Linked DNA regions of Mytilus edulis. The main gene of each other region encodes a partner of the protein of the gene in region 4 in a complex. Links are inferred from orthologs where the notes say so. Each region holds a gene or a part of one and is shown on either strand. Other genes may lie near its edges. The genes, in order: protein UXT-like, prefoldin subunit 6-like, p53 and DNA damage-regulated protein 1-like and dynein axonemal assembly factor 10-like.

The links.
Region 1: dynein axonemal assembly factor 10-like (region 4) and protein UXT-like share a complex: the UniProt entries of both Homo sapiens proteins name them as parts of the PAQosome complex. The link is inferred for Mytilus edulis from reciprocal best matches to the Homo sapiens genes DNAAF10 and UXT.
Region 2: dynein axonemal assembly factor 10-like (region 4) and prefoldin subunit 6-like share a complex: the UniProt entries of both Homo sapiens proteins name them as parts of the PAQosome complex. The link is inferred for Mytilus edulis from reciprocal best matches to the Homo sapiens genes DNAAF10 and PFDN6.
Region 3: dynein axonemal assembly factor 10-like (region 4) and p53 and DNA damage-regulated protein 1-like share a complex: the UniProt entries of both Homo sapiens proteins name them as parts of the PAQosome complex. The link is inferred for Mytilus edulis from reciprocal best matches to the Homo sapiens genes DNAAF10 and PDRG1.

Annotation. Positions count from the first base shown.
Region 1 is NC_092344.1:98,263,546-98,271,433, reverse strand, and holds the start of protein UXT-like, read right to left. Parts: upstream 3,002-7,888; 5' UTR 2,871-3,001; coding exon 2,782-2,870; intron 1,093-2,781; coding exon 1,011-1,092; intron 1-1,010. Other genes in the region: uncharacterized protein, read left to right, coding at 7,798-7,852. UniProt on the Homo sapiens protein: Involved in gene transcription regulation. Acts in concert with the corepressor URI1 to regulate androgen receptor AR-mediated transcription. Together with URI1, associates with chromatin to the NKX3-1 promoter region.
Region 2 is NC_092345.1:388,786-396,705, reverse strand, and holds the start of prefoldin subunit 6-like, read left to right. Parts: upstream 1-4,908; 5' UTR 4,909-5,006; coding exon 5,007-5,067; intron 5,068-7,920. Other genes in the region: surfeit locus protein 1-like, read right to left, coding at 4,824-4,847. UniProt on the Homo sapiens protein: Binds specifically to cytosolic chaperonin (c-CPN) and transfers target proteins to it. Binds to nascent polypeptide chain and promotes folding in an environment in which there are many competing pathways for nonnative proteins.
Region 3 is NC_092352.1:12,758,788-12,766,742, forward strand, and holds the start of p53 and DNA damage-regulated protein 1-like, read left to right. Parts: upstream 1-4,936; 5' UTR 4,937-5,036; exon of another isoform or gene 5,037-5,078; intron 5,079-7,955. UniProt on the Homo sapiens protein: May play a role in chaperone-mediated protein folding.
Region 4 is NC_092346.1:9,760,883-9,768,863, forward strand, and holds the start of dynein axonemal assembly factor 10-like, read right to left. Parts: upstream 3,010-7,981; coding exon 2,836-3,009; intron 497-2,835; coding exon 396-496; intron 75-395; coding exon 1-74. Other genes in the region: ribosomal RNA processing protein 36 homolog, read left to right, coding at 4,700-4,942, 5,682-5,697, 6,253-6,313, 6,758-6,835. UniProt on the Homo sapiens protein: Key assembly factor specifically required for the stability of axonemal dynein heavy chains in cytoplasm.

The DNA.
Region 1 (7,888 bases), on a different chromosome or scaffold from region 4:
TTTTCAATCCAGATACGGCCAGAATTTTTATTTAATGCAAAAATCCGAGTCAGATATTTTTCTCTCAATTACCTTAGACTGCCTCCTTAAATCAAATGGTTCGTACCTTAGACTTTAAATCTATCTAGAGCTTATACTGACTGGGGATCATTATTCAGCTATCACGCTATTTTTAAATAGGCTGGGGCGTTTGGGGTTAAACATGTTTTCGTAGGTAAATAATATTGCTGTGGATTTTTTTTCATGAGAGTGTAATAGAGTACATTACTTTCTGTTTGGTTGAATTGTGAAATAGACGTCACTACGTTCTTGTTCAAATCAGTGTCGCTTTGAAGGTATCGTGGTTGTCATACTCAGCATAAGCAATGTGTTACTGTAATTTGAATTTCAAAATAACTAAGTGACGTTTTATTTTACGCACTGATCAACTCCACCATGTAGCGAATCACATGACTTTGACATAATCAGTAAATACCAGCGAAAAATATCTTTATAAGTAAAGAATTGTCGCATGAAAATTAAATACACTGGAAATGGCAAAGTTCACAAAGTCTATTCTAATTAATCATTCCACAAAAAAAAAAAATCCAAGCAAAGGGGGGGGCCTCTACGCCCCCCTCTGGATCCGCCACTGCTTATGTCTACAAGCCTTACTGGGAAGATGAATGACTTCTTCTTTAAAATTTCTTGACAAGTTTCCAAAAGGGACTGAACCATATTCATGATAGTAGTTTTTTTATTGCATAATGTCGATTTTAATTCAAATTTCATATCTTTCCTAATATACAGTATTTTTCGAAAGATCACTTCTTTCTCAGGTTAGGCTAGATATTTGGAATTGTTTTCAATCTGTTTTTGATGGGAATCAAAAAGAGCTCTCTGTGAACAAAATGACTGCAAATGATTAACTGTTTTATCTGTTATCAATGACAATTACATTCCTGTAGTAGAGATAATACATTTATCTTAATACATGTATAAGGTCATATATGATGATCGAACATAATTACCTTAATTGTTTCTATAACTGTTTTTAATTGAAGATATTCAGCTGTTTGTTTGTACACTTCATCCCTCTGCTCTAATAGTTTACTGAAAGAATGGAAATACAACATTTCACTATGAAATTAACAATACAATAATATTACCTAGACTACTCGACTGATTCATTGTTCTGTGGATGAAGCCTGTAGAAGATAAAAGTGTAAACTCATGCTTCCTATTATAAAATGTTGGCTTGTAACATTTGTTTGCTTGTGTCTTTGTATATCATGTATATTATTACTATTTTTGCATTATGCTTTATGTATATATATACCTAAAGTTTGTTTATTGTTGTTGTTAAAGATTAGTAGAGCTTGTGATGTCATGTTTCATGTTATAAACATGTTCAACTATTGACTATAAATGTTTTTAAGTAGGAAATTCTTTCGTGAGGGGTTACTTTACTAATTTCACAACTAATTTCAATTATGTTTACCTAGAAAATCATCACAGCACGAAGGAGTATATGGTTATGTGGCTAGACCAGCGACTCTTTTTTTCTTAAACAGTACAATGAATTTTAATATATTGTTAAATTTGCTTGTGCTGAAGAGAGGGTATTAATGCCCTTTACCCATCAGACGTCAAACATTTTTGGTTACTGTTAGTGTCAAATCAGTTAAAAGATTTCTGTGAATCATCAAAATATCCTTATTTATACACGTCAGAGGTCTCAAATTATTATTGTAACTGGTATTTTGGACAAAATTTAACATGTTTCGTCAAAATTAGTCAATATTTTTACCGTCCAATTGAACACGGTTTTACACTAGTATTTTTGGGGCCTTTTATAGCTTGCCGTTTGCTGTGATCCAAAGCTCATGTTGAAGACCATACCTTGACCTATAATGGTTTATTTTTATAAATTGTTACTTGGATAGAGAGTTGTCTCATTGGCACTTACAGTGGCGGATCCAGAAATTTTCATAAGTGGGGGCCCACTGACTGACCTAAGAGGGGGCCCGCTCCAGTCACGCTTCAGTGATTCCCTATATAAGCAACCAAATTTTTTCCCAAAAAGGGGGGGCCCGGGCCCCCTGGGCCCCCCCCTAAATCTGCCTCTGACTTATACCCTTGATGACCTTTGCATTGTTGTGATGTAAAAGTCCCTAACTGCTGTGCACTGGTCGTGAGGAGAACTACTGCAGAATGAAACACTTTATTCCTGGTTCTATTTTTACTTTTTGTTTCCGTATTAATAAACTTTATATCATATTCTTTTAATATTAAATCGACCTCATTGCACTCAATGCCTCTTACCTTAATTATATCCTACATTGCTCATATCATCAATTTATTATTTGTGTATTACTTATAATATTGTGTATTTCACTAATGTTTATATAATCATTGTATGATGTTTTTGTATCTTGCCCGACAAGGGCCCATGATTGGTTTAATAAAATAATGTCTAATAATGTCTAATATACCACATCTTCCTATATCTATCTATCTATGTACATTTTATCGGCATGACTGTTAAAGTCATTTGGTAACATTTTAATCATTATTTGTCATGGAGGTACCCCATTATTACCCTCTTAAGATGGTAAAATTTTTGAGTGTATCCATTTCCGACCATGCCATGGTCATGGAGGACCCTGTGAATGTAAGATTGAAATCTTGTGGTAAAAAAATAAGATGAATACAATACGATACAACTGTATTGTCACAACATAGGTAGAGTTATTAGAAGCAAGTTTACATATTAATATATGATATGCTGTACATGCCAACCTTAAATCTTTTCTAAGCTTTTCGTTTAGAAACGTTTCGTATTGTGTAACTTTATCTCTTATGTTGGTTTGATTTTCTTCTTTAGACATAATGGTTTGCAATCATAAAATATATTCCGTCATATAAGATAATGACATCAATCATAATTTCTTGCACTAATCATGTTTTTTTAATTTCAACTTGCGTTTTCTACTTTCATTTTACACACCGGAAGTCAATAAAGTAATAACAAAACTGTTACCGAAATGGATGACAAATTGCGGTATTATTACATATTTAAAACTCACCGGACCCAAATGAGCTTTTCAAATCACTTGCGTCCATCGTCGTCTGTTTACTTTAACAAAAAAAATCTCCTTTGAAACTACTGGGTCAAGGTTTAGAAGTCTTGGCTGCCCACAATCTTCATTATGGTATTCAGTTTTAAAAATGTGTCCGACCATTGAAGATGGCTTACATACGGCTAACATAGGTCATAGGGAAAATTTGTCTGCAATTTTGCAACCATTGTCAATATAGAAAATCTGACAAGGCAGAAATTTTCAGAATGTTGAGTTTGACAATCGGTCATTTAGATCAAAACTGTCAGACTACTTAGAGAAGTCATTCTCGCGGCCCTTAAGTTAAATGACAAAATAACGGAAATTGTTGAGGAGGCTAGCTATCACTGTGGAGCTATATGATTAAAAAGGACATAAAAATCAACTTGGCTCAACCGTTTTTGCTGTAGGTTTTGAAATCTTAGTTTCTTTACGATTTATAAACGGACAAATTTAGAAAGGTGTGTTATAGATCATTTATTACCAAAGTACCGACTACTAACTGGTTTTACCCCGGATACTGATAGTCCATCAGCAGAGGTATCGATCCAGGACTGCGGGAAAATAGAAAAACAACACGTTAGAGATTCCATTTGTCCGAAGCGCTTCATTGATTTACCTTCACAAGGAACGCTCAAAGCTTAATATTTGAAACAGTTTAGATCCAAATCCTTAGTTTCAACATGTTCTTCCAGGAAAGACCCCCAATGGTGACTAGGGAATAAACATATGGTCACCATTGGTCTTCCAAAGACCGGCAGTAAAACTCTCACTAAAGTGGGGCTTCCATTTGGCTGTGCAGGATGTACAAGTTCGCAGCAACGTCCAGTAAAAATGAGGACGTTGAATTAATCGGATGCCTCGTGTATAAGAGAGATGCCACGTTTTTGTATGTTAATAACCCTTAGCAGCAACTCTTTGTGGGATCCGTATAAGGTGACCAGTTGCACGGCTAAATTTTCCTATCTGATATACCCATATTTTCCTGTGTTAGCCCAAATTTCTCCGACTTCCATCCGGACTGCTTTTATTAGAGGACCTTCCTTTAGTGTGATTGTTTGTTAATTTGTTCTCGTCCTGAACATGATTGAAATATTTGTCACTGAACGTTTAGCAACCAATAGTCAATCAATCCTTATTTCGGGAAATAAGTCTGTTTACATGCCGATAAATTGTAATGCGGAACGCTACCCCTTACAATTAAAAACAAGTATTTGTGTGTGAAGTTTACACACCAACTAAAAGATATGTGTGGATGAAGTTCACTTACTAACTAAAGGATATATAGAGAACAATTGAGGGTCATGCATTCATTTTACTTTTTTCAAGGTTGGAACTTGAACAAATCGGAAATAGCTCTACACGAAGGAAAATTGTAAAGATCGGAAGCTTTCGCGTATTTATTAACATCATTGTAATTATTGAAGTCCGCGGTCTTTCTGTCATTTCGTGGTTCCATAAATATGGGTTACCTTCTTAATTGTCATTAATCAGTGACATCGTCAGTTAGCTTGCTGTCGGACATCGATGTTGAACATTTTATTTTTGTATTTGTAACAGTTCACAACAAATCAAATTAGCCCCATTGTTAAAACAATAGCACGTCAAACCAGTAAATTAAATTATGGTTTTTGTAATTGTAGTTTTATGTGACGGCCACATTAATACATTAGTTGAAACATATTTTATTTGCCAAATTAAAGCAACATGGATTATACATAAGTAAATCATACCAGTTTTTCTCCATAATACAATATAAATAAATACAATAATGGTATTATGAACATGCATGTAAAGCAAACAGTTTTAGGTGGTATGGGAGTCTAAAATAAAAATGATAGAATTTGTTCATACTTTGCCAAAACGTAGTATCTAATGATATATGTTGAAAAATATAATAAAAATGATAGGTCACCGCGCATTTTCTCAAGCTACAGGACGTGACAAAATGACACATTTTGTATGGATTATACAGGGAAAAACACCATTTTGTGATTAGAAACTAAACAAAATGATAGAATTGTTAAATACTTAAGGAAAAGATAGCTTTCAGACAATGCTTTGAGAAAATCAAAAAAAAGATAGGGTCACCGTACGTTTATTTTGGCTAAAATACAAAATAGGAAAATTCCATGTAGAATCCTTCAGAAAATACACTGTTTTAGAGTTACATCCCCTTAAATGCCAATTTAATTTTTTTGTAAAACAACCAAAAATAATCACCACTAGCAAAAATATTAATATTTATAAGTTATATTCTTATAAATTGGTTCTTTTAAATGAAAATTCACATTAAATATCTGCATTCCTGCATCAAATTTTGCTAACTTGATAAAAAATCTGGACCTTGGGTTCTCTGTTTTTTACAATCCAAGATGGAGGAAGACACCCATACTACCTTAATAGAATAAAATACGCTGGAGCTATTGTAGGTTAAAAAAAAAAAGAACGAAAATTTACAAAGTCATATACACTATTAATTCTGTGATGATGAAATCTGTTTGTGACCTTTTGGTGAAATTTTGAACATGTTTGTAAATGAACATTATGTTCGTTCGAAGGTTTCAAGCCTCCGCAAATTGATAGTTTTGTATCTTTAACAAAGTTTTTTGAAAGCTAGTTAAGATTATTGAGTGAGGTTTTTCTACATGAAGTGTGTTTTGGACAAGCAACGACCATATTCGTATGTCGTTCTCTGTATAGATGCTTATATGGTGGTGGAAAACAGAAAAATAAAAATTCACTCCTTTATCCCTGCAACGCACCTGCATAAAAGACAAGACGATGTTTGTTGAATATTCATGTCTCAGTATATATAACAAAAATAAAAAAGATATTTTGCATCCAAAATTATTTTATATTTCAAGCTCACTGTAACAGGTCTGCAATTTTTTTAATATCGCCGGGAAGAAAATTGCAGATTTAGGAGGTTGCATCTTGACTAATTTTGCAAAAATGTTTGCATTTCTTACCCAAATAGTTTTAAAAGCCGTGATATTTGCACATTTAATTGTAAAATAGACCATCTAAACATCAAAGAGGAGCACTAGATATTTTAATCCTTAATGTGCAACCTTGTCATATATACTAGTCAACAAAAGAAACGATACACGACTTTAGAATAAAAATTTATCAAAAAGTATTAAAACTAAAACAAAATGAGATACACTATTTTAAAAAGCTTTCATTTGCAATATATGCACATATGATAATGAAATTCAAAACCTGTCGGAAAGTAACTAAATTCCATGTAAACGATCAAAGGGTGCAAATTATTTTTGCGGAAAGTTGGACACAAAATCGACACATAATTTTCTAAGTCCTAAATGAATTTTCAAATTTGTTTAAAAAATATTCAATATATATGCTAATCAAGTAATGTTCATATTTTCACTAATGGGTTGAAATATTGTTTTTTTTTTATTTTTGGTAAAAAAAAAAAGTGTTTTTTGAAATCTCAAAAAATGCACACTGGAAATTTTGAACCTTTCGGATTAGTTTTAAGATTATTAACGGTTTTTTTTTTAAATTCACTTTACACATACTGTCAATGGTAAATCAATTGATAATGTTTACATTTAAACGAATTCTTGTTGGACCGAACTTTGCTTTACAAATAAACAAAGAAACTGTACGATTTTTAAAAAAGAATTTATGGCAAACATTGTCTTTATCTTTAAATGAGAGGTTGGCATCATTAGTTGGAACTTCTGTTTTTAAAATTATCGTTTTATGTAAATTTTGTCAAAAAAATTAAGTTTCGCAAAATGACGTCATGAGAGCAAAAAAACATTTTTTTTAAACGGATTTATTACCATGGTCATTAAATATTACTACCTTCAATATTAGTCCTAGAAACGGAAAACTTCATCTTTAATTTGAAAAAAAAGTCGTGTATCGTTTCTTTTGTTGACTATATATAAAACGATTCTTAAAAAAAGTTGCATGCAGGGATCGGAATAAATATGTACCAAATTTAACCTGGTCAGACTTTTTTTAGTTTGCATTGTTCCAGTAAATTAAAAAGGTGTTTGACTTTTTTCTCCCCACTTATTTGTCATTTTCGATCGTATAGCACCACGAAGGGTTACTTTTTTAATAGTTTATTTTTCCTAATTAACATGTGACTCCGCATATATATACTTAATTCCATTTCTAACGTTTGCTGGTTAAAAAAAATCGGGAAGGCGAATATTTAATAAGTTGAAAGTAAGTTTGACAATATAATTTAAGCAAAAATTGTATTTGGAAATTTCATTTTGCTACGCGATATTTGGCTAATCAGATATGACCTCGGGCAGCACATTTATCGTAAAAAAACAAAAATAACCAAGAGCTTATAAGTCAAAAGTAAATACAAGAAAACAAATATAAAAAAAAGTTCGAAATATTGCCTTCGAGGTCATATGTCACTATTGTTGGTAAACTTTTTGAACAATTAAAGTAATTCTAATATATCAATGTCTTTTTTCTCAGATTCACACATTTTGGTTAGAATGATCAAAAATGACAATCGCGTCATACATGTGTAATATGTACATGTAATGTATGACGAAGCAAAATATTGTATATGTAAACAACGTAGGCTTCCTATACTAAGTGATCTGATTATATTTAAACTAGAACGGTGTATTTTAGTCCACTGTGTTTTTTTCGGTCACGGGTTTTAAATGCCATTCAAGAAAAATATTTCAAAATGGTAGGAAGGAAAGAAGTATTAAGCTTACTTGTTTCGACTGTTTCAACTACAGGTAAATAAAATTTTCGTTTTTCGAATATATTTCCAA
Region 2 (7,920 bases), on a different chromosome or scaffold from region 4:
AATATCCACTACCTCATATATCATTGCAAGGATTTGTATAGTGAGAACTATAAAAATCCTTGATCATTGTATATATAACTAAAATACGCATTTAGTTAAGAGAAAAATATATATACATCAACCCCAAAAAATGTGAAATAATTAAGTAAATATTTCTGGACAACCCCTTCCTTATTTTTACTGTTTTTGCTTAAATTACTGTTAAAATATGTATATTAAACAAATCTATAAACATGGGTGCCGAATTGACTATATAAAGTGCCGATTTAACCAGGTGCCAATTTGACTAGGTGCCGATTTGACTATACTGAGTGCCGATTTGACCGGGTACCGATTTAACCAGGTGCCGATTTGACTAGAATTCAATACAACTGACAATGACTGATCACCCAGCTGAATATGCTCTAAATAAAAACAAAGCAATTAGTCAAAAACTTGATGCCTCAAATCGAACATTCTCAGTAGTCCCTAAATTTAGTCCTGGTAACTTAGTGCTTACATTCACTGCCGGTGCCTATGAGGAATTTAAAATCGTGACCTTGAGTGTGCTTCAGGGTGAGGGGCTCTCAATAAGAAGGACTAATACGACCGACGTAAATAAAGCAGTAGTCTCTGAATCTGTCGTTGTCAATGATGCACAGAACAAACTCTATGTATCTGATGTATTAAACTTTTACAATACCTCGTCAAAAGTAGTTTTGAATGGTAATCAGCTACATATGTCAGTTTATATTTCGTCAACCCTACCTGATATCTTGAATGTATTAGACCATAACAAGGATTTCATAACAATTAACAGTAAAATCAGACAATGCTGCACTGCATATCTTAACTCAAATCAGACTAGTTGCACTCGACCAACTGACATTAATACTAGTATTCAACAAGATCAGTGTCAACATTCTAAACTAAATAGTGCTTCCGCATCTTTAAAGTCACTAATAAATGCTTCTGATCAACAACAAAATGACTACTGTCCTATATGTGAAAATCTTTGTAGTTCTGACAATAAGGCTGTTGAATGTGAAATCTGTAATAAATGGCTTCATTATAAATGTGAAAATCTTACTGTTAACATGGTTAAGGAGGTTGATGAGATAGAGAATGATCTTACACTTCAATATAATTGTAACAGCTGCAAAACTTTAAAATCATTGCAATCAGATCTACTTGTTTCTCATTTAAAACATGCTCCGTAAAACACTGGTATTCAACCAACCACAAGTATACGGTCACGTTCAGAAAATAGCAATCCTTCTACAAACTTGAGTCACCCCACAGTTCTGTGCTCCACTCCGCCACATTTAACTAACTGTAACATACATGTATACCTATTCCTTTAACCATCAGTGCCATTCCAATGACAACATGTAATAACACTAACATTTTAGAAGAGGAAATAAAATATTTAAAATCTCAACTTGGACTAAAAGATAAGCAACTTAAAACCAAAGAATTGCTCATTTGTAAACAAGATTCCGAAAAAAAATTAATGAAAAAAGAATTGGCTACTGACAGAGCCCTCACTATTAAATTAGAGCAAGATGAAAAGGATCTTGAACATTCCTTATTGATAAAACAACAAAACCCTAGCAATACAGTACATGAACCATCTGCGTCGAGAAGATAATTCTAGATCATATGCCATGGAACAACGTGTGTGTTCATAAGAATTTGAAATACTTAAACAAGACAATAAAATTTCAAATTTAGCTGATAAATTCATCGACTTTAAAATAGAGAATGGACGTAAACAACCGAGAACACGAAAGAACAAACAAAATGTGACCAATAATCAAACTGCTGACTAGTTTAAGTATGAGAAACCTTCAAATGACTCTTGTACTAACATTTTATTTGATTCTGAGCTTGAAATGCATGATGACGAGGTAGGAGATGAACAATCTCCTGTTCATAGTATACATGGTATATCATATACTGAACAGTACCCTTTTTTAGGCTAAGTTCGTGCGCCGAAAAGACACCTGCCACATATGAATTATTCTCCACCAAAGAAACCAATGTACATGTACCACCCTCCTCCAACAAGACAGAGAATTCCGAATCATGTCCGTCAACCAAATGTCCATCGACAATACCAAGTGATCCCGAGATTTCAGAACCAGAGTCCACAATTTCACCCTCGATTCAGTCTAGAATTTAACATCACATTTGTTAAACAGTCAGGGGACTTACTTAAATAAGTGATTTTCTAAATCACTGATTCAAGTAACATTATTTCCATAAAGGTTGGAAGTTAGAGTTGTCTTTCTTTAATAATCACCTATTTAAGTAGTACAAATTAATCACTAGAAGAAGTGATTTAATTTTACTGTAGCTTTAAATATAGAATACTAATGACCCAGGGACTAATTATGTTTCTAAACTTATCAGAACCAACATCTGTGTTGTCTAGGATGACCAGGTCATTTCAGGTGATGACCTTGTACTGAATCTAGGATAATGACATAAAAATCACTTGTTTAAGTATCAGACCTCAATTTCCTTCCCAAAAATCACTTCTTTAAGTATCATTCTTTTAATTTATAACCCCCACTAATTTCAACACCCCCGAACAGTGAAATTTTTATCGCGAACAGTAGAATTTTATTACATAATCTGAAAGATGAAACCTTGAACTTCACAAGAAAAATACTGCCACTGCTGGAAAAAATCTTTTAAGAAAGTATCAGTTCATTATGTAAAGCCATTATTATAGCATTTTTTCAACTAAAATAGAATTTAGCATCAAAGGCATAAACCTTGCTACTTAAAAGAAGCAAAAAGTTCATTTTTTTAAATTTTACTAATTAAAAGATATTATTTAAACCTATGTGTTTAAAATTTTGAAAAAACTACAAAATCCAAATTTGTGACAAAACCTCGAATTTGCTACTCAAATAAGTGATTTTAAAATCACTTATTTCAGTAAGTCCCCTGACTGTTAAATATTTTATCTTTTAACATTGAAGGCCTGACCTCTAATTTAGCGTATCTTTATAAACTTATTAAAAGATCTGATATTATTTTACTTCAAGAGCACTGGCTCTATAGCCATGAGAAGGATAATTTGTATAATAATTTTACTGATTTTAACTGTCACATAAAATGTTTTGACGATGGAATTATTGATGATGTAGTTGACAGAAAACGCACACATGCTGGGGTCGCAATTTGCGTAAATAATATATAATCCATATTTGGAGAAACTCCCTGATGGAAATAATAGAATTGCCGCAATATGTTTGAACTTTGATGTACCTCTGGAATTCAGCGGAAATCCACAAAAGAATTCTTGGTATCTTTAAAAACAGTATTGATAATGATAACTCTGTCGAACGTGACTTAGCATTCCGTCAACTTGCAATGAAATCCAAGTCATGAAACAGTTGGTTTCGTAAAATAGTAACTATCACAGAATTATATGATCTACCGTCACCTCATGATCTACTTGTCAGCCCTCCTTCAAAGTCTAAATGGAAAAAAACTGGTTAACTCCTCTGTAAGCTACTACTGGATAATTAAACTAAAATCTGATGTGTCAAAAAAATGATCTTTAAATCTTTCAAACTATGACATGTATGATGATGCAGAATTTGGAAGCATTCATCCTATTTGGAATACTTGTGGATCTGAACCTTACTCTACGTTACGTGCCTGCATCAAATCCAAATTAGTGTGTAATACATACTCTTCAATGCGACAATTCTAAATTTAGTAAACGACAAGTCAGTGCAATTTGTCCGTTATGTGGAACTGAGGAAGAGAACCGGGTACATTTTGTTTTGAGATGCAGTAAATTAAATAATGCGAGAAACAGCTTTATACAGAGTCTAAAAACTTTTATAAAAGATGTTGTATCAACTAAACTTTACGATGAACTAATTTGTTCCGAAATTAACACTTTCATGACTTTACAGTTAATTATTCACTAGAGGACTTAGCTGCGAAAAAGTAGCTCTATAATTGTCCTTTGATTTTTTTTTTGCCATATCAAAACCTTTAAAAAAGAATTTGTAACTATTTTTCAATTTAAAAGTCCGCAAATATCAAAAATCATCAAAAGGATCTTAAGAGCTACGTTTTCGCAGCTATAGAGAACTATGCCAACAGGCCTTAAGATTGAGGATTGAGGCAGGTGGATCGACTTTATTGAGGTAGTACTAATGAATCAATATCAATCAGCTTTATAATGAAAAAGTGCTCAACTGTGACAATTGTTAATTTGAAATGGGGCAACAAACATTTTGAAGTCCATTGACTTTCCCTCCAGTTTCTGATATGTATATTCATGGGATGTACTTATTCTCCTGAGTAAATAGAGGTGGTGGTTAATGTGTATAAACAAACAATATTAGTGCATTGGATTAAATGACAATTTAAATGATATTCACACTGAAAAGTGGGTCGTCTGATATAGGCGGAACAGTACAGACTAAAGTAAAGTAAGTAAGGCAGCAACCATTTGATTTTCTGGGGGGGGCTATGGTTTTTTTTTCTGGACAAACTTTTTTTTTTCGCCTACGGCGAAAAACAATCTATTTTTTTCGCGACAAGTCGAAAACAATTTTTTTTTCTTTCAATTTTAGCATTACATATAGTGGCAGCTGAGGGTGAAACAAACTTTTTTTTCCAAAAAAAAACCATAGCCCCCCCCCCCCCCCCCCCCCCTAAAGTAAAGTAACTCATAGTCTGACATACATGCATACCACATCTTATTATTTTGAAATATATGACAACTATTGCAAATGATATTTTAATGAAAAATATTATTTGCCTTGACACACAGTTTGAAGTTATTCAAATAAACATAATTGTTTAACCTTTCTTATGCCTGATGAATTCATTTTGTCAGTCAAATATTAGCAGCTCTCATTGAAGAAGGTGAGTTTTATAATGTTAAAAGTAAAAGTAGAAGTAGCAATGCAACGTTTAATTGGATTGGACAAGTGCTCTGAAATTGACCAATCAAAATTAGTTTGCCAGAAAATCTCTTCTGTTTCAATATGGCCGAACTTCAGAAACGATTGCAGAGCGATATAGAAAAATATGACGCATTCCAGAAAGGTAAAACTAATTACAAATTATCTTGATGACGATAAAAAGTGTGAACAACACACTGAGATAATTTGATAAATGTCCATCTCTATCGTTTTATACGTCCAGCTATGTCATAGTGTCAGTGAAGTCATGTTTTTATATCCATGGTCACAGACACACATGTTTATAATAATTTGAAAGGTAAACTATTCTTATATAATAGATCGACGTCGCCTAGTGCCTGGAATCTGGGTCCGTTCGCGCCCATTCACTTTCGCACACGATCACGTTCGCGCCCTTTCACTTTCGCACCCTACACGTTCGCGCCCAAGTTTTATTGGTTTTGTGTTTGATAACTTTATAACCAAGTTTTGGCAAGTGTATTCATATTAGTATATTTGTTTTCATTGTCTCAAAATAAAGTGAGACAACGTGTTTTTTGTGTTGAATAAATCTTAATCATAATTTGCCGGATAGTGTATTGTTAAAATATTTTTAATCATTTAAATAAAGTGAGATTCTGACGACCGGGATTTTCGGGTGGAATAAATCTTAAATATTAATCAATTTTGGTTAGTGTATTGCTATAATTTTTTTATCTATAAATTGTTTCAGGTGCGAACATGTAGGATGCGAAAAGTGTATTGGGCGCGAACAGACCTGATACCTAGTGCCTGTGTCCATGATCACCATGCAATGGAATTCGTGGAAACAAGAGGTTTCGGTCTTTGTCGTTTCGTCCATGTGCTAGTCCCATTTATTTATTAATACCATTTATTTATTAATATGAGGTCTTGAAAGAAGTTCTGGATTGGGGTCCTTCAATTCTACATTCTTTACTGTTTTTGAAAAAATTTCGGTATTCTTTAAAAAATTTGCCCATCATTCTTCCTTCTAGTCCGAATAGTTATGAAGTCTGGCGAGGCTATATTAATTTTTTTCTGGGACGCCTTCCTTTGAAAAATTTAAAGATAAGATAGCCTTGCCAGACGTCATAATTATTTGGACTATCTCTCTTCTAAATATTTTATATGATGACGTATACACTATTCTTTAATATTTTAGTCTATTTTTCTCTATTTACTTTTTTTCTCTTTATTTTAAACTTTTTGCCCATTATTCACTCTTCTTTGCCTCTTGTTCATGTTGTTACGCTTTTTCTTCGAAGATGTCCCACAAAAAAATTAAAATAGCCTTTCAAGATCAATTATATAGATAGCAATGTATTACATAAATGTATTAAAGTAGTTAAAGGTAAAACTTTTTATAAAATTCTACTTCTGTCATGTCTGTACAGGATAATGGCCACAATCAACTAACTGAATATTTTGCCATGACTTCTGTGCACATACAGACCCCTCCCCACACTGTTTTTTAAATTAGTTCAGCTTTGGCACCTAGGCTTTGAAAGCCTCAACTGTCAAATTATGCTCATGATGCTGATAAAGATACATATACACTAGAATACACCCGTGATATCGCGGGTCCGTGACTGAATTAAAGTATATAACTATGCGTAAGCCTTATTTTAATATTGGGATTGTCATCTGATAAAGTCATGCCGATTATAAGACGCACAGTTTTCTCTGCTTTCAAAATTTTTCTGTTTGAACACGTCGACCTGGAACTTATCAATTATTGGTAATATTAATTATTTGGAAAACAAAAGGTCCTGGAATGGAGTATTTTTTAATCAACAGCATTGTCCTATATAAATAAAGGCAACAGTAGTATACCGCTGTTCAAAACTCATAAATCCATGGACAAAAAACAAAATCGGGATAACAAACTAAAACCGAGGGAAACGCATTAAATATAAGAGGAGAACAACGACATAACACTAAAATGTAACACACATAGACAAAATCCCACGAGAATAACAAATATAACATATATACATGTATATAACATCAAAACCAAATACATGAATTTGGGATAGACAAGTACCGTGACACGTCTTATCGCAATGTGAATTTACACTCAAAAATGAGAGAAAGCAACCGACACAACGTTATAATGTAATACACACAGAAACGAACTATAATATAACAATGACCATATTCCTGACTTGGTACAGGGCATTTTTAAAGGAAAAAATGGTGGGTTGAACCTGGTTTTGTGGCATGCCAAACCTCACACTTTTATGGCCATGTAAAATATAACATCAAAATGACAACACAGGACTACAATATAAATAAATTGGAGAACACAATTGACAAAGAATCACACGAACAACAGCCAACAAAAGGCAACAAGTTCAAAATTTTAATACGCCAGAAGTGTATTTTGTCCACACAAGACCTATGTGTGACGCACAGATACAAAAGTTTGAAAGCCGAAACGAGTACAAAGTTGAACAGCATCGAGGACCAAAAGATCAAAAAGGTTGTGCCAAAAACGGCAAGGGTTTTCTGTTAAGTTACCAGAAAATCCCTATAATTTAGAGTAATTTATACTTTTGCAAACAGTAAATTTAATAAAATGAATATTCAAAAAATGTACATGATAAAGCTGAAGTATTAACTAATTACAGGAAACAACTGAAATACATTTACATAACCAGACATTATAAGTTATGCATATATTGGGGATTTTGAATCTGTTCAAAGTTTTGATTTTTCTACCCTATATCATGTATATACCACTTTGCCTCATATTCTTATTAAGAAAAAATTCACATCCCATATTAACTAGGCATTTAAAAAGTCAGAATGCGAGTACATATGTTCAAACTCTTTTAGGTCATTTTTTAGTAGCAATTAACAAATTAAAAGAACTATGTCAATTGGACATGCTTTGATACTATATATGCCCTTGAATTTTTGCTTGATAACATTTTTGTTCGCTTTGGAGATTCCGTATATCGTCAAGTTATTGGAA
Region 3 (7,955 bases), on a different chromosome or scaffold from region 4:
TGCCATGTAGTCAAGATAGAAAACAGAAGAACTGAAGAATACCATTCACTGAAACTTTTTAGAAACTATTTTTGATTAGTACAGCATTATCAATTCTCACTGAAGTTGTGATTAAGAAGTAGAATAGAGAATAAAGATCCAGAAATCTACTAAAGGATTTGTATAATTATTACTGTATTACTGTATTCTTTCACAACTAATATTAAGTAGCTGCTGTGAAGTAAGGTAACTGCTGCAGAAAAAAATGAGTTAGGATTAATGGCTGCAGTTAAAACAAAGATTTGATCAAACATTATTCTTTTTAGGAAAACATTTTGAACTTTGTATACATTAAAATAAATTGCAAGCATATGTAGTATATGGTTTTGTGATTCGCTGGTTTTTGTACCCATAGCTTTAATTGATCCTTCCGTCCTTATGATTTACAGATCAAGTTAGTGTTTTGTTCTAGGGAACATTATTGCCCTTGAACAATTCAACATAGAAAGTTTCATTAGTATTGTTAGTGCTTGACTTTATTGTAATATTTCCAGATTTTTGGTATGTTATTGTTTAATGATAACAGATTATTTTGTGTTTTGGTTGGATGAAGTTTAATGGCCATTTGTGTTTGAATTTTACATCTGTTGACTGATATTTTTACACTTGTTGACTAACTTGTGGGTCTCATTGGGGTCTAAATATGATGCCAGATTGCCGATTTTTTGTAAGCGTGACAAGTGAAAGTCAAATAATTGTGCTGGGAAAACAGGAAATGAAGTCTAGCGGGACATGGGAAATTACAAAAAAAGAATTGCTTTCGTACATAGTGTAAGCGGGATACAGGAATCTGACAAAACAGTAAGTGGGGTCAGGGATCAGAACCCCCCAGTGAGACCCCCTAGCTATTAACTGTAAAAAAAAATGTGTTGAATTTCTCAGTTTTGCCTAAAAACCAAACTATAAACCAATCTTTTTAATGCACAAAAATGTATTCAATTTTTGGTACCAGATATTTAGATACAGGGTAAAAAAAAATACGCACTTAAGAATTGAGGAAAATAACCTAAAAACAGACAACACAATATATATATGTATTTTTTAATTTAAGTACTGTTATTAGTTTAAGGAAGCTCGCTTGTCATGTTTTGGAATTTTGGTCAGATTTTCGGAATCCTCTGGTTTTATCCATTTGAATGCCTTAACAAAATTTTCCCGGTGACCCCAATTTTTCTTTTTATAATTCTTTTACATGTATAATGATAAGCTGTCTGTTAAAGTTTTATAAAATTTTAATTACTTTTTAATAGTTTTTGAAGACTTAAACTTGTCAATGATAAAGCTATGAAAAGTCAAGAGAGAACATTTTCCCGCCAAAATTTCAATGGCTAATATTTCAAAGACAAGCACGGTGACCTATATATTTTTTTTGCTCTTTTGATTCCTTTATTAATCCCATATCAATATATGCTAGTGTTTTGAAAAGTTAATTACTTTGAAACTGAGAAGCCAGCTCCCTTAATTGGTTTATTTCATTCTTATTATTTGCAATTAATTCATATTTTTATTCAATTGTACTGAATTGTTTTATTTTGTTAAAAGATTAGTAGTTTTCAGTTAGTTTTCTTTTATGCACCTTATATTGATATTTTGTAGGACAAACATATATAGAATAGAATCATGGATTTAAGAAATTGAAACTATTTTTATGTACATGCATAATATTAATCCTCTCAGTGCCATATTATGTAGTTATTTGATATAGGTTGTTCTTTCACAATTATAAGATTAACTTGCATTCTAATATGACGTGCTTCTTTCGCTTTGTAAACAACACCGTGATAAAATTCTCGATATATCTATACTTAGCGCAGACTCCAAGATGTACACAAATGGCTGTTTAAATATGCCTCCCACGTAAATCCACATGTATCATAACCTATGTGTAAACGGTTGTGGATTTCGCTGTGTTGATTCTGATGCATAACAAAAAGAATTTACACATTAGAGAACGGAAAAATGGACAAAAACAAAATAAATTAAAATTCCGCGAAATTCCAGTAATGATTCTTGCGCATTAACGTCATTTCAAAACATGACGTCATACGAATGAAAACGCCAAAGCTGAAGGTTTTTCTATTGCGTTTACCTTCTAAACTCGGATACAATTGCATTAAAATAAAGTATTGAGGTAGGTGTTGCTTGTTTTCTGTTCTATTGCATTATTCGCACATTTACTGATTTCAGCAAGTCAACATGGCGACTCCTTGGTTACAACATGTCAACAGTGAATTTGACGGTAGCTTACGATAAAAAATGTAAATTTAAAATTGCAAATGTTGGGTTTACTGAGAGGTGAAAAAAAGTTATCACATTTTTTTTCTAGCGGTTAGTTAAGAAATCATTCATGCAGGTTTATTAGATTTGTTTTACATGTATCGAACAGTGGGTTAAATAAAACAGCCACACACACAGTATACCCATCATCGCTTCAGTTTTTAAATGATCGTATTTGTCCTATTAGAATCGAAATAATTCATGGAAGCCATAGATTTGTTGGAAATTTACACATGGCCTGAGCCGTGATATTCGTTAATTTTATCCCTCGCTAACGCTCAGGATAAAATTCGAATATCACGGCCCAGGCCATGTGTAAATTTCCAACAAATCTATGGCTTCAATGAATTATTTCTTAAATATTAAGTATGTTTATTAAATGGATTTTGATTGGTGCATCCATGAACTTAAAATAGAAAGTAAATAGTCTTTGATTTTTTTTCTTATGAATTTTATGTAAATGGATAATATTTTGAGGTTCTTTCTTTTCTGTTTTTTATGAATTTTAACTAATATTGTCCCAAAAAGAGTTCTTGTTGAAATTATGAATTATGAAAAATGAAAACAAACCTTTGAACATTCATAAGTTTGATGATGAAATTTTCATTAAAATTGGTTGAAAGACGAGTTAAAAGTATTTCTTTTAGAAAATTTACAAATTAGTATAGAATGATAAAGGGAATTATTGACAAGGGAATGCATTTGTTTAAATACTGTATATATGCTTGTACAAGACAATATTTATGAGTCTGACACAATGGATTGGTCTGATTTTTAGTTTTATCCTAATAATCCATAATTTGGCAATTTTTTTTACTAAACAACTAAATTATGATTTCCCAATACAAAGTTACCAAGTTTTTGTTTTTTAAATGTTAGACCGCCCAAGACAGACATAGAGATGAAAACAGTTGTTTTAAGAAAAGTCATTAAATGGTTGCAATCATTCAATAGGCTATTATAAAAACTTTTTGCAATATATTCTATCATTAAAATTTACTTCATATTAAAAACACTAATGTTGCATATAGTTTAAACACTATAATTAAATGTATCTTGCTTCTTTAATTATCATGTATTGCCAAAATATATTAACACTACTTATGTATTTTTTTTGTTTCTAATGACTTGTTACATATTTAAATTGTTGAATAGTGAATAAAATTAGTTTTTTACAGAAGTTGATTTTATCTTACTATCCTCCCAGTTCTCATTCAGAAGATTCTATGAGTCCTTTGGACTAACAATTTCAAAACAGATTCAATGAGTTAATTAGTTAATGAGTGGATGTAAGCATTTATAGGTATCTCTATGGCCTTCAATAATTAGAAAAAAACATACCGTATAGTCACCTATAAAAGGCACTGTCATAAAAACAAAATATGAAACCTTTCAATTAAGAAAACTAACGGCCTAATTTATAACAAAACAATTTACAAAAATAAAAAAAATATGACAGAAAATGAACCATAGACCTCCGCTGAACAAACATCATTATAGTACAAAACAAGAACATGTGTCAATAGAACACCATTCCCTTCATACTTTATCACTCTTAAGTTCTAAAGCCATTAGAAACAAATACTTTCTCAAATAATTTCTACTAAACTGCAGCTGAGCAGAAAAAGAAGTATCATAGACTGTTATAACCCCCTCAGTGGTCTCATATGTGTTATGGAATGTGGAGGTTGTGGGTTAGAATCTATGACAGGTCAAAATAAAGACTTCAAAATGGGTATTTGCAGCTTGTCTGCTAAGCAAATAGCATTTTAAATAAGTAAAGAGCAAAGACTGGTCATCATGGAGTCGGAATAATGTGCAAAGTAGGGTGTCATGTCTTTATGCAGCCATAACAACCATTGTGTTAGCCTAATACAAAACAGGGTTAAAATTCATATTACATTACTATGTTTACGTCCAGATTATGCATTTAATTTGCCACTCATCATTAGCATTATAGTTTGTTAGCCAGATAGAGCAATTCTAACTGACCAAGTCAAAGAAGATCTCCAATTGAGTTTGATATCCTTTAAACTACTATTTATACAACAACTTCCCCTTTTTCTTCTTTCCGTGCATCCTATACAATTACAGACCTTTGTTGGCTGTTTCAGAAGTAGTTGCTTGCCCATTATTAGAATTCATGACGAGGACTGGCCTGATAAAAAAATTCAACATTGAGACCTAAGGGATTGCTCTAATGGACTAAAAAGAAAAATCACAAAAATACTGAACACCGAGGAAAATTCAAAACGGAAAGTCCCTAATCAAATGGCAAAATCAAAAGCTCAAACAAATCAAACGAATGGATAACAACATTCATATTCCTGACTTGGAACAGGCATTTTCTTATGTAAAGAAGATTCTACTTATAATTCAACAAAAACATGTTAGGCACCCTTTATACCTTCACAAGTATACAACACTTGACTTGGAAACATTTAAGGTTTATTTAAATCAACAGTTGAACTACATAAATATGCAAAGAACTAGTTACTGGTATACATTAAACAATTCATTAAATATTTCTAATTTGTAAAAAATCACTTAATAAAAATTTCAACTGCACTTTTTTGGTTACACTGATTGTCACATCAAGAGGGAATAACTCTAACTGTTTCTACTTAGAGTTATCTCCCATAGAAAATGGCAGCCTCCATGAACAGAATTTGTTCAGAGTAAAAATATGGTTCTAAGCAGTTTATAGACGTTTTTTAGAAGTAATACACACTAATATTTGAAGAAAAGACGTATGTTTTGCTGTAAATTGAATTGTTCATGTTACTATCTTATGACAATGTTTAGAATTAGTGTAAATCGACGATTTTCGACCTTCTTTTACTGTTATATTTATGTACTTGTACTACATGTCTCTATGTGACACTAAAATGATCTAAAAACCCTTTTATATATCAAGAAAAATATTCTTTTTTGGCACCTTCAAAGGTTTCAAAATTTGTCTAATCATTGACATTGCTAATCATGCTAAATGTAGATTTCAATATATCCTGTTGGTCATTTATTTTAGTACAAAAAGCATTGTTTACTATTTAAAAGAAACAAGGTTTTCATTAGGCATAAATGTTATATATATCTGTATGTTGAATCAGTATTTTCTGGAACTGTATTGTCTTAACCATGATTGTTGTGAAGATTGCATGTATCAGCCCCTTTTGGCGTTTGAATCCAAAGTAAAAGGATCATAAATTGAAAGCTCTTCGTTTTATTTACAATATATATATACTTGTCTTTAGTCCCCCAAACCTAAGTCAGGTATATCGCACAAAGGACAAGCAGTATTCTTGGAGATTTAGAGATTTATTTCTCTGGCTTGATACACTAACAATGGCAAACTGAACAAGTTTTTTAGTGAGACTTTAGGGTAAGACAGGGTATTTTCGGACATCTCAGTATCTTCAGACAGTTGGTTTTCCATTATCTTTTAATCATCCTATAAAAGATGTCAAATGTTTTTTTATAGCTAATTAAAAGAGGAGTATTTTCCCGAAAACAATTGTTTATAAAACGACTGTTAAATTATTGTGTCGAAATAGTATATGTGATCCGTCATGTGACATAAACACCATTTTTCAAAATCTTAGAACATAAAACTTCCAATAGAGATCTTCAGATTTATCCAAAATACTAACTGAACCTTAGAAGCCATTATTATTATGATTATAAACAGTATCCTTTTCTAATGTCAATTAGTAATTTAGCATTTTCTAGCATTAAAGTAAACTAAACTTTTTCAGTTTCCAAATATACCCTGCTTTAGATACATAAAGGGTTGGGCATATTCAGTCACTTCGTTTTTTGGTATTAAAACACAGCATTTGTACCCTAGAAAAGAGTGAAAATAAAAATTATGGCTTATTTGTTTTCCAATGTATCACTGATATGAATAAATATTTTTTGTTCTTGGGCATACTTTTTCGGAAAAAAACCCAACATAATATCTGAATGACTATTTATCGATTTTATTGAAAAGGAAAGGCAAAACATTAAACAATTATTGACTTTTGATGAGGTTGATACAATGTTTTATCAACCCAAGAGATATGACATTTACCGAGGCCAACGGCCCAGGTTGAATTTCATATCTCTGGGGTTGATAAATCATAGTTTCAACTGAAATAAAAATTCAACAATTGTTTTATTATATGACTTTTTACCCTTCACCAGTTTTCTAGTATTTGCTCAGATAATCACTTCATTTAAAACTGATCCTTGATTTTTTACTAAATAATTATAGTAAATATATCATCTGCTTTAGCCAATTCTCTTAAGTTGAATATTTATAAAATTTACTAAAAAAATACATGAAATGATTATAATGAATTATAAATTATAATCTAATTTCCTGCCGAAATAAAAAAAAATTATAAGTATTTATATAAATATAGTTTACAAAACACCATATACAAGAGAAACCTAATAATAAAATATTTGGTGCACACATTCTCTAATATTTTGCTTAACACATGTATTTAGATGTTTAAAATTTGTGGGTAAACTCTACAAAAGAGAGATAGGAATGTCAAATTTTACACAGTTAAAAATTCTCAAAGTTGAAATTAATGAACTTTTTCAGAGGGAATGGTACTTTGAACATGATCTTGATTATCTGTGTTTGTTAATTATCCAGCTAATTAACACAAATTCATATGCATTCCACCAGTTATATGGCAATATCTTGATGAGAAAAGTGAAGAAACATGTATCAAAAGTTTGGTGTTTCTTTCAAAAAGAATCAGCTGTTTAGTGTCAGACTCAGACAGAGAATACCTAACAAAATTGAATGACCAAATAGTCCAATAAAACAAGTTACTTAGAATTTATAATTTATTTTTAAAAATACTTATACAATCAACCATTCATATAGACGACTCATATAGAAACGACTTCTAGGTATCTAACCTATATACTATAGTATACATATTTATAAGTAACAAATGGCTGAACTGGAACTGTTTGCAATGACACTGTACATTAAATAACCCTCCATCATGTCCATCATCATGATCATATATTTATACTGACTGTTTTGATGCTAACATGGACAATATTTTGGTTTATGTCACAAAATTGGGTAAGAATAACACTGTCCATGAATTAATGTTAAACTGTTTTAACACATTCTCAGAACTATAATATTGATGCATCATACTCATGACAAGAAATCAATTTTAGCCATAGTATAAATGTCTCAATTTTAAAACCATGATGAAAAAAAAACCAATACATTCAGGAATATTGGAATGAAAAACCCGATTCAATCTTTGCCTGAGGGGAAAACTTGTACTGATGATGCAATGATATAAAAATTGAGGAGCAAAATTAAGTTGATGAGTCCTCAAATTAATATAAAATTCAAAAACAATGCCAATGAGACAACTCTCCACCAGATATCACATCAAATTTTTAGCAACTGTAGGTCATGGTACGGTCTTCAACAATGAACAAAACCCATACAGTTATAAAAAGCCCTGAACTGGCAAATGTAAAACAATTCAAACAAGAAACTAAAACCATGAACTTTTAACAAAACGATAAATGAAAAACAAACAGGAAAACCAATGGTCCATTCTACATTAAAACAAGAAACAAGAAACACTTCATTGGCCCCATTGTACCTC
Region 4 (7,981 bases):
CTCCATCAATAGCATTTATAATTTCTTTGTGGGCTTTCACAGAATATACAGGTAATTCCATTGACTCTAGGTTCCTATAAACAACAATAAAACATATAAACCAGATATACTAAATTCACCATCAGGATTTTGGGGTTTTTTTTGTCTTATGTTTCAAGGGACAAGTAGTATAGGATAAATGTTCACACATTGATGTTTAGGTCAAGCAACAAATTAAATGCTTAATTTTAAGTCCACAGAAAGACTTGACACATTATTCTAACTATGAGCAAACCAGTCAGCATTCTTTAATCTTGAATAGGCCTTAGGCATGTTAGGGACATTGTATTTTTTTTCTTATAGCAAATAAGATTATCTGTAATTTGTAATACATTAAAAATATTTAATTTACAAACCATATCTGCATTTTTCCATCGAAGTCTCCTGTTGCAAAATATCTTTGCTGTAAACTTGATGCTCCAAATGTTCCACATTTCAAAGCTTTTGATTTCTCAATCTGTTAATAAAAATTATATAGCAGATTCATATATATATATAAAATGTACATGTATGTTTTTTGTAATGCATTTAATGAGAGTATCACAAGATTTTATATTATAATACATTGTACAAAGGTTTATCTGTCTGGATATAATGGAATAAATGTATTGTTCAGTTTACTTGAGAGAAAAAAAAACATGATTACTACCAAATAGCAAAATTATCAAAATAAAATCTACATGTATTTCATCTTTAAATGACTATTTAAATGAACAAAATTTCCATTTACTTTTTAGACTGAGTGACAGGTCAAATTTAATTAAAACTATTATATGAAAATGAAATTAGACCACATATAATCAAAACCAACACATAAAATTCTGATCCTTGCTTGTACATGTTTTAGGTACAATGTATATTAGACTTTTCACACCAGGGGTTGGAAAACCAGCATGGGAAATTGTGGGTAGGCATACGCCTCCATGGGGTAAAACACCAGCAAATAGTGACAGTTGGCCTGGCAGGTACATGAGGTATGGGTAGGAGCAAACCTGTGAGGTGTGAACATGTTTTGGAAGTGAACGGACCCACTTGAATATACATGTACCAAAAAATAACATAGGTGGATCCAGGGCCCCCCTTTTCATGGAAAAAACTGTGGTTGATTATATAGGAAATCGCCCCAAACTGGTTTATCAAATCGCCCCTCTTTTTAAAAAATCGCCAACTTGTGAATGGGTTAAATCCCGTTAATAATGTTAATATTACTCCTGCCTACTCGCCCCACTTAATGAAAAACGTTATGCATATGGAACTAAACACATTTATTTCTAAAAAAACAGTTGTTGGCATGACACGGGTTATGTTCTTCTCATATATTTTATGATAGTATGATACTAAACCCCTAACGGGAGGGATTGTACCTGATATTCATATGATGAAGACATAATCTTTCAATCAGTTTAATTGAGGTCTGGAGCTGGCATGTCAGTTAACTGCTAGTAGTCTGTTGTTATTTATGTATTATTGTCATTTTATTTATTTTCTTTTGTTACATCTTTTGACATCAGACTCAGACTTCTCTTGAACTGAATTTTAATGTGCGTATTGTTATTCTTTTACTTTTCTACATTGGCTAGAGGTATAGGGGGAGGGTTGAGATCTCATAAACATGTTTAACCCCGCCGCAATTTTGCGCCTGTCCCAAGTCAGGAGCCTCTGGCCTTTGTTAGTCTTGTATGATTTTAATTTTTAGTTTCTTGTGTATAATTCGGAGTTTAGTATGACGTCCATTATCACTGTACTATTATGCATATTTTAGGGGCCAGCTGAAGGACACCTACGGGTGCGGGAATTCTCGCTACATTGAAGACCCATTGGTTGCCTTCGGCTGTTGTTTGCTCTATGGTCGGGTGGTTGTCGCTTTGACATATTCACCATTTCCTTTCTCAATTTTATTTTATACTTTTGTAGATGTGCAAACCTATCATCTGAGAATAAAATTATTTAAACACAGATGATTCTTGACTTATTTTATAAAAAAATGAATATATTTACCAGGGAAAAAAATGTCACATAAATGCTGATTCTACCTTCTTTCTGTTTAATTTTTACCATGCAAAAGAAAAAAAAATGCATTTCAAACGTTCTCATAAGTGGGATGAATTGGAAAACCTACACTCTTTACAGTTTTATTATTTTATTCATATGTTGGGCTAGTTTGTAGTCATAAGTGGGGGGAGTTGGCATTGCTAAATTCATTGTGTTTTATTTATTTGTCATGAACATGATGAATGGAGCGAGGTGCCAGACCGTATTTCAAAGATATTTTAACCCTTTACATAAGTGGGGTAAGTTATCCAACCTATTTTCAATGGGATTTTACCCTTTTTAATGTGCCCATTTCTAGTCAATAATTATAATTAAATAAGTTTCCTTATTTTTGTATTCTGTGTAGATTAGTCTCATATTTACAAAAATGTAAGTGGGTCGATTTGGCAGATAAAAAATTATAAGTGAATCTAAATATTACCGTTTTTCATTAAGTGGGGCGAGTTGGCAGTAGTTATATTAACGGAATTAAACCTATTTCACAAGTGGGGTGATTTAAAAAAAAAAATGGGGCAATTTGGTAATCCAGTTTGGGTCGATTTTTTTAAGTGGGTGGTTTTCGTGAAAAAGTAAGGCGATTAGGTGTTGGGGGATTTACCAGTGGGAGATTTGTCATGGATTCGTCAAACAGATAGCGATAAGGTTCAACTTTAATTTTCCAATTTAACAGATTTAGACTAACCTGTTGTAGACAACATACATTACTACAAGAAACAGATAGTTGGGAAATTTGTTCTTACTTACATCATGAACTAGTTTGACATCACCATGTTGTACTTCATAAACCTGAAATGCTCCAGTTCCGCGTGCATGGTTACCGAGTACAATAAATTTTGCGCTACACGGAATCCATTTTGTATCAAATAATGTGTAATTTACTGGTTTCTGTACATGGGAAATAATCTGTGGCTTCTCCATTTTGTTTTAAAACACTTTTAAAATAAGAAAACTTGTAGAAATTCGATTAAACCCAATCTTGTAGCAACATGAAATTTCTTTTTCTTTCGCGAACTTTAACCGGAAGTGAAACTTTCCTACCTTATTGCAGAAGAGCTCTATAAATAAAAACAGGTGCTGCTAAAGTCAGTTAACTCGATACTTTGCCTTTGTTATGACACTTAAGTAGATATTTTAACATTTCTCACTTTAATATTATGTAGATAGATAATTTTCTGACAGAGTGATTACAAACCCCATCACACTATCATGACTATTCACTGATTTAGTAATAATTTGATATTGTCAAGGATTTGTATAGTGATATTGTCAACAAACAAACATGTGCAGCTGGAATAAATTTTTGTTATGCCTAGTGGCTAGAGCTAGTGGCAAGCAGAAATGACATGAAGCAGGTGCTACCTGTTGAGAACATAAAAGTTATTAGTGCATGTTTATTTTGCTTTATATAGTGGATTTCTTGACCTGTATTATTTTGTCAAATTTACCTCCACCAGACAGGCAACTTGGGCAAAAAAGGTCTCTTTCCTGTCTGTCACTTAGCTTTGCTGACTTGTCAAAAGGGAAATCTAGTGCGCCTGTTATTGCCCAAGGGTAAAAACTTAAATCTAGTCCCCCTGTTGTTCACCCTATTCGCTTTCAGTTGCTTTCGTCATCAGGAATTTGATTTTTTTACCAAATCCATCTATAAGTAAAGATGGGGGGGGGGGGGGGGGGGGGGGGGGGGAGGGTGCATGGTTCTGAATACAGATCCATGTGGAATAAAATTTGCAAAAATGACTTGCATTGAAAACAAAAATCAGGAAAAGCTATAAGCACCAGAAATAAAATAATAAATATTAATGAAAATAGTGCTAGAAGTTATGTAACTCAGCTGTTCATGGAGATCATGCAGTCATTATTAATAGAAATGAAGACCTTGTGGTTGCCTTTTACCATCTGTTAGTTGTATTAGATTTAGGAAAAAAAAATGTGATTCATTGTAATTTTATGTACTTTAATTTACAATATTTATATAGCACATTATCTAATTAAAATTACTCTAAGCGCTTAACATAAAACAATCAATGCAGTTAAGAGAGGTGTTTAAAAACATAAAAACAATCAATGCAATAAGAATGAAATAAAATTTTGAACACATAAAAAAAAACTTTACTGCATACAGTACATGTATATACATATATACCGTAAATACATGTATACCATATCTGGTCGACTTAAATTATTCTGGTTTACCTTTGAATTAAATGCATGACAAGCCAGAGAAATAATAAGTACAGACATAAAACACAAAAAACAAACAAGGGGGAAAAAGGAAGCATGCACATCGAACCAAATATGGGGGAAATGATAAATAAAACATCGAAACACATAAGCACACGAAATAAAAAGGCAAAAAATTATGCACGGAAATAAAACTTTATCACACTCAGTAAAAAATCAAAGATATAAACATGTATATCCGTAAATGATTTATTTTCTTTCAAAAAGAGGTTAAAGCATTGAATTAACAGTTCATGAATAATTAAAGGAACATACAATAAACTTATTATTTCATAAACGTAAACATGATAAAATCATGAAAATAGATGTGTTAGTAATCCAACTTGAAATAATTTTGTTGTTGCAGAAATTGTAATTATAGAAGAGAATGTCTAGCACTATATCAGTTTCCAAGAAAAGAAAATCTACATTAGACACAACTGCTTCATATTCAGTAAATAATGCAAAAAAGAATAAGATGTCGAAATTACCCAAAAGTCCAGTCGATGAGTTACATATGATGAGGAAGAAAGAGCAGGTTGAAGAGTCAGATACAACATCTGAGGAAAGTACCGTTGAAGAATCTGAATCTGAAGGTTCAGATGCACAAGAGGCTGAAGCTGATGAATTAGTAAGAATTAATAAGTTGCATAAGTTAAACATTTGTACAACTTTACTATACAATGTATATATATATATAGTTTATTTTCACAAACTGATCCACGCTTAAATAGATTGAATGTTGATTTTTGCTATTTTTAGACATTATATAAAATAACAACTTGTTAGGATTTGTGATTTCTTCTACTAGTTAAAATCACTTCTCACAGATATTTGTTTGAAAGGAGTTAATAAAAATATTGTTTGCCTCAGAGTTTAGGAGAAATCTTATTCAATAAACTATATACATTTCACAAACTGGCCTTAATGTACATTGAAATTCTATAAGTGAACCAAGACCTGAAGTGGTAGAGTTAAAACAAGTGAATACTGCTAGGTATAATTCCCAGTTATCTTTAAATAAATAAGAATGTCGCCACACAACTTGCACAAGACAAACTGTCATTGTTCAATTACTCTAAAGATAGACACAAAAAGAAATTATATTTTGTACAAAACTTTTGAATTGTACTACATGTATAATATTAAAGTATAAAAAAAAAATCAACAGGAAGCTTCAAGCCTAATGGACAGAACAACAGATTACAGTAACATTAACACCTAAGAAAAAACAAATTAGAGGTCATTTTATATGTACAAACAAAGACAAAACCAAAACAAACAACATATGGTCCCAAAATAATATGTCTTCTCAAGGAATTGCATTCATTATCAAATCAATAGTTATTGTTTTTATTTTTTGTTTTTAGGTAACAGTTAAGCAAGGTAAGTTACATATATATATATATAAGGCATCAGTTAGACAGCAACCAAACAACAAAAATATCCAAAAGGCATCTAGGCAGGAAATGAAAATTACATTTTAAATTTATTAGTTTGATGTATGGAAGACTTTTCTGTAATTGCCTTCCTCAGAATGCTATTAACGAAAAAGATGCATAAAATGCTTCGAACCTAAAAAGACTAATAAAAACCATATACATGTATGGTTAGCTTTGACTCAAGGAGTTGGAACAGAAGATTCTGTATAATTTCTAAATTTGTCAACCACACTGACAGTTTTAAGAAATGTATAATAAACTATGTCAATTGCAAAACAATGACTATTGAGCTAATAATATTCTTGAGAACTAACCACCAGCAGCTGTATCAAAGTTGTGCTGAAAAATGAAAATAACATTTCATAAATTTGGTGGCCTGAAGCAGTCTTCTGGATTAACTTTCATCAAAAACATTCCACACCAAATTTAAATGCCAATGATGGGTAAGAAGAGTGATATACTTTCAAATTAATTTATAGGATATACAATTTGGTTTCAGAATTATCAAATATGTCTTTTGAAGAACTAATACAGTTGAAAGAGAGGCTTGGTTTAAAAGTGTAAGTATATTATTCTTCATTGAGATAACAAAAAGTCTCCTTGTACTTGAACTTTAACGCATTTGTAAAGTGTAAAAAAATCTTCAGTTCAAATTTTTTATGAAAATGTCAAGAACTTAAAAATTCCTGGATTTGTGATTTTCTGTTCGTGGTGATGCTCAAATCATCAGCGTAACAAAGCTGAAATATACTCATGCCAACTCATGTTCACTGTGGCCTTTAACCTTGAATTTTGTAATGATATTGATAAAGCTTAACTCATATTCAAATGTATTGTATCTGTGTATTCAAGTTGAATGATTTTAAAATGAAATAGGTCTAGAAAATTGAACCATATAAAAGTGTACCCACTCCAACTGTGGGCTGATTGGAATTGACAAAATCCAAATAAATTGTAAAATATCAATGTTATTTTTTTTTTTTACACAATGTGAATATTTTCAGATATAACCAAGTAGTACATGGAGATAAAGTGAAGAAGCCTACCTCTAAAAGAGTTTTTAAAAGAGAAAATAAGAACAGGTAACACTATCCAATAGCTAAAAACTCATTAAATTGAAAAAGGCAGTAAATATATTCCTTCCTTATTGGTGCAATTATTAAATTTTGTAAATACACAGGACACCTCAAATGTGAAGTGAACAAAATGAATCACTCCATGTGCATCATAACTTTTGATTTTTAACTGGATTTTTGTGACAAAAATGTCGGTTATTGATTTGGGAAAATACGCCGGGCGGTCGGTCGGGCGGGCGGCAATCAAATGTTGTCCGTGCATGAACTCATGAACCAATCAACCAAAGCTTTTAAAATTTTAATATGTTGTTACTGACAACTAAATGAAGGTCAAGTTCAATAATGGCGATTTTGACTCTTACAGTTCAGGAGTTATGGTTCTTGAAAGATTGAAAAATGGAGTTTTCAGTCGTGTCTGTGCATTTACGCATGAACAATTCAACCAAAGCTTTTAAAATTTTAATATGTTGTTACTGGTGACAAAATAGAGGTCAAGTTCAATAATGACGATTTTGACTTTTACCGTTCAGGAGTTATGGTTCTTGAAAGATTGAAAAATGGAGTTTTCAGTCATGTCCGTGCATTTACGCATGAACTGTTCTACCAAAGCTTCCCAAATTGTAATATGTTGTTACTGATGACAAAATGGAGGTCAAGTTCAATAATGACGATTTTGACTTTTACCGTTCAGGAGTTATGGTTCTTGAAAGATTGAAAAATGGTGTTTCCAGTCGTGTCCGTGCATTTACGCATGAACCATTCAATCAAAGCTTTTCAAATTTTAATATGTTGTTACTGGTGACAAAATAGAGGTCTAGTTCAATAATGACGATTTTGACTTTTACCGTTCAGGAGTTATGGTTCTTGAAAGATCGTAAAATGGCGTTTCCAGTCGTGTCCGTGCATTTACGCATGAACTGTTCTACTAAAGCTTCCCAAATTTTAATATGTTGTTACTGATGTCAAAATGGAGGTCAAGTTCAATAATGACGATTTTGACTTTTACCGTTCAGGAGTTATGGTTCTTGAAAGATTGAAAAATGGTGTTTCCAGTCGTGTCTGTGCATTTTCTCATGAACCATTTAACCAAAGCTTTTCAAATTTTAATATGTTGTTACTGATGACAAAATAGAGGTCAAGTTCAATAATGAT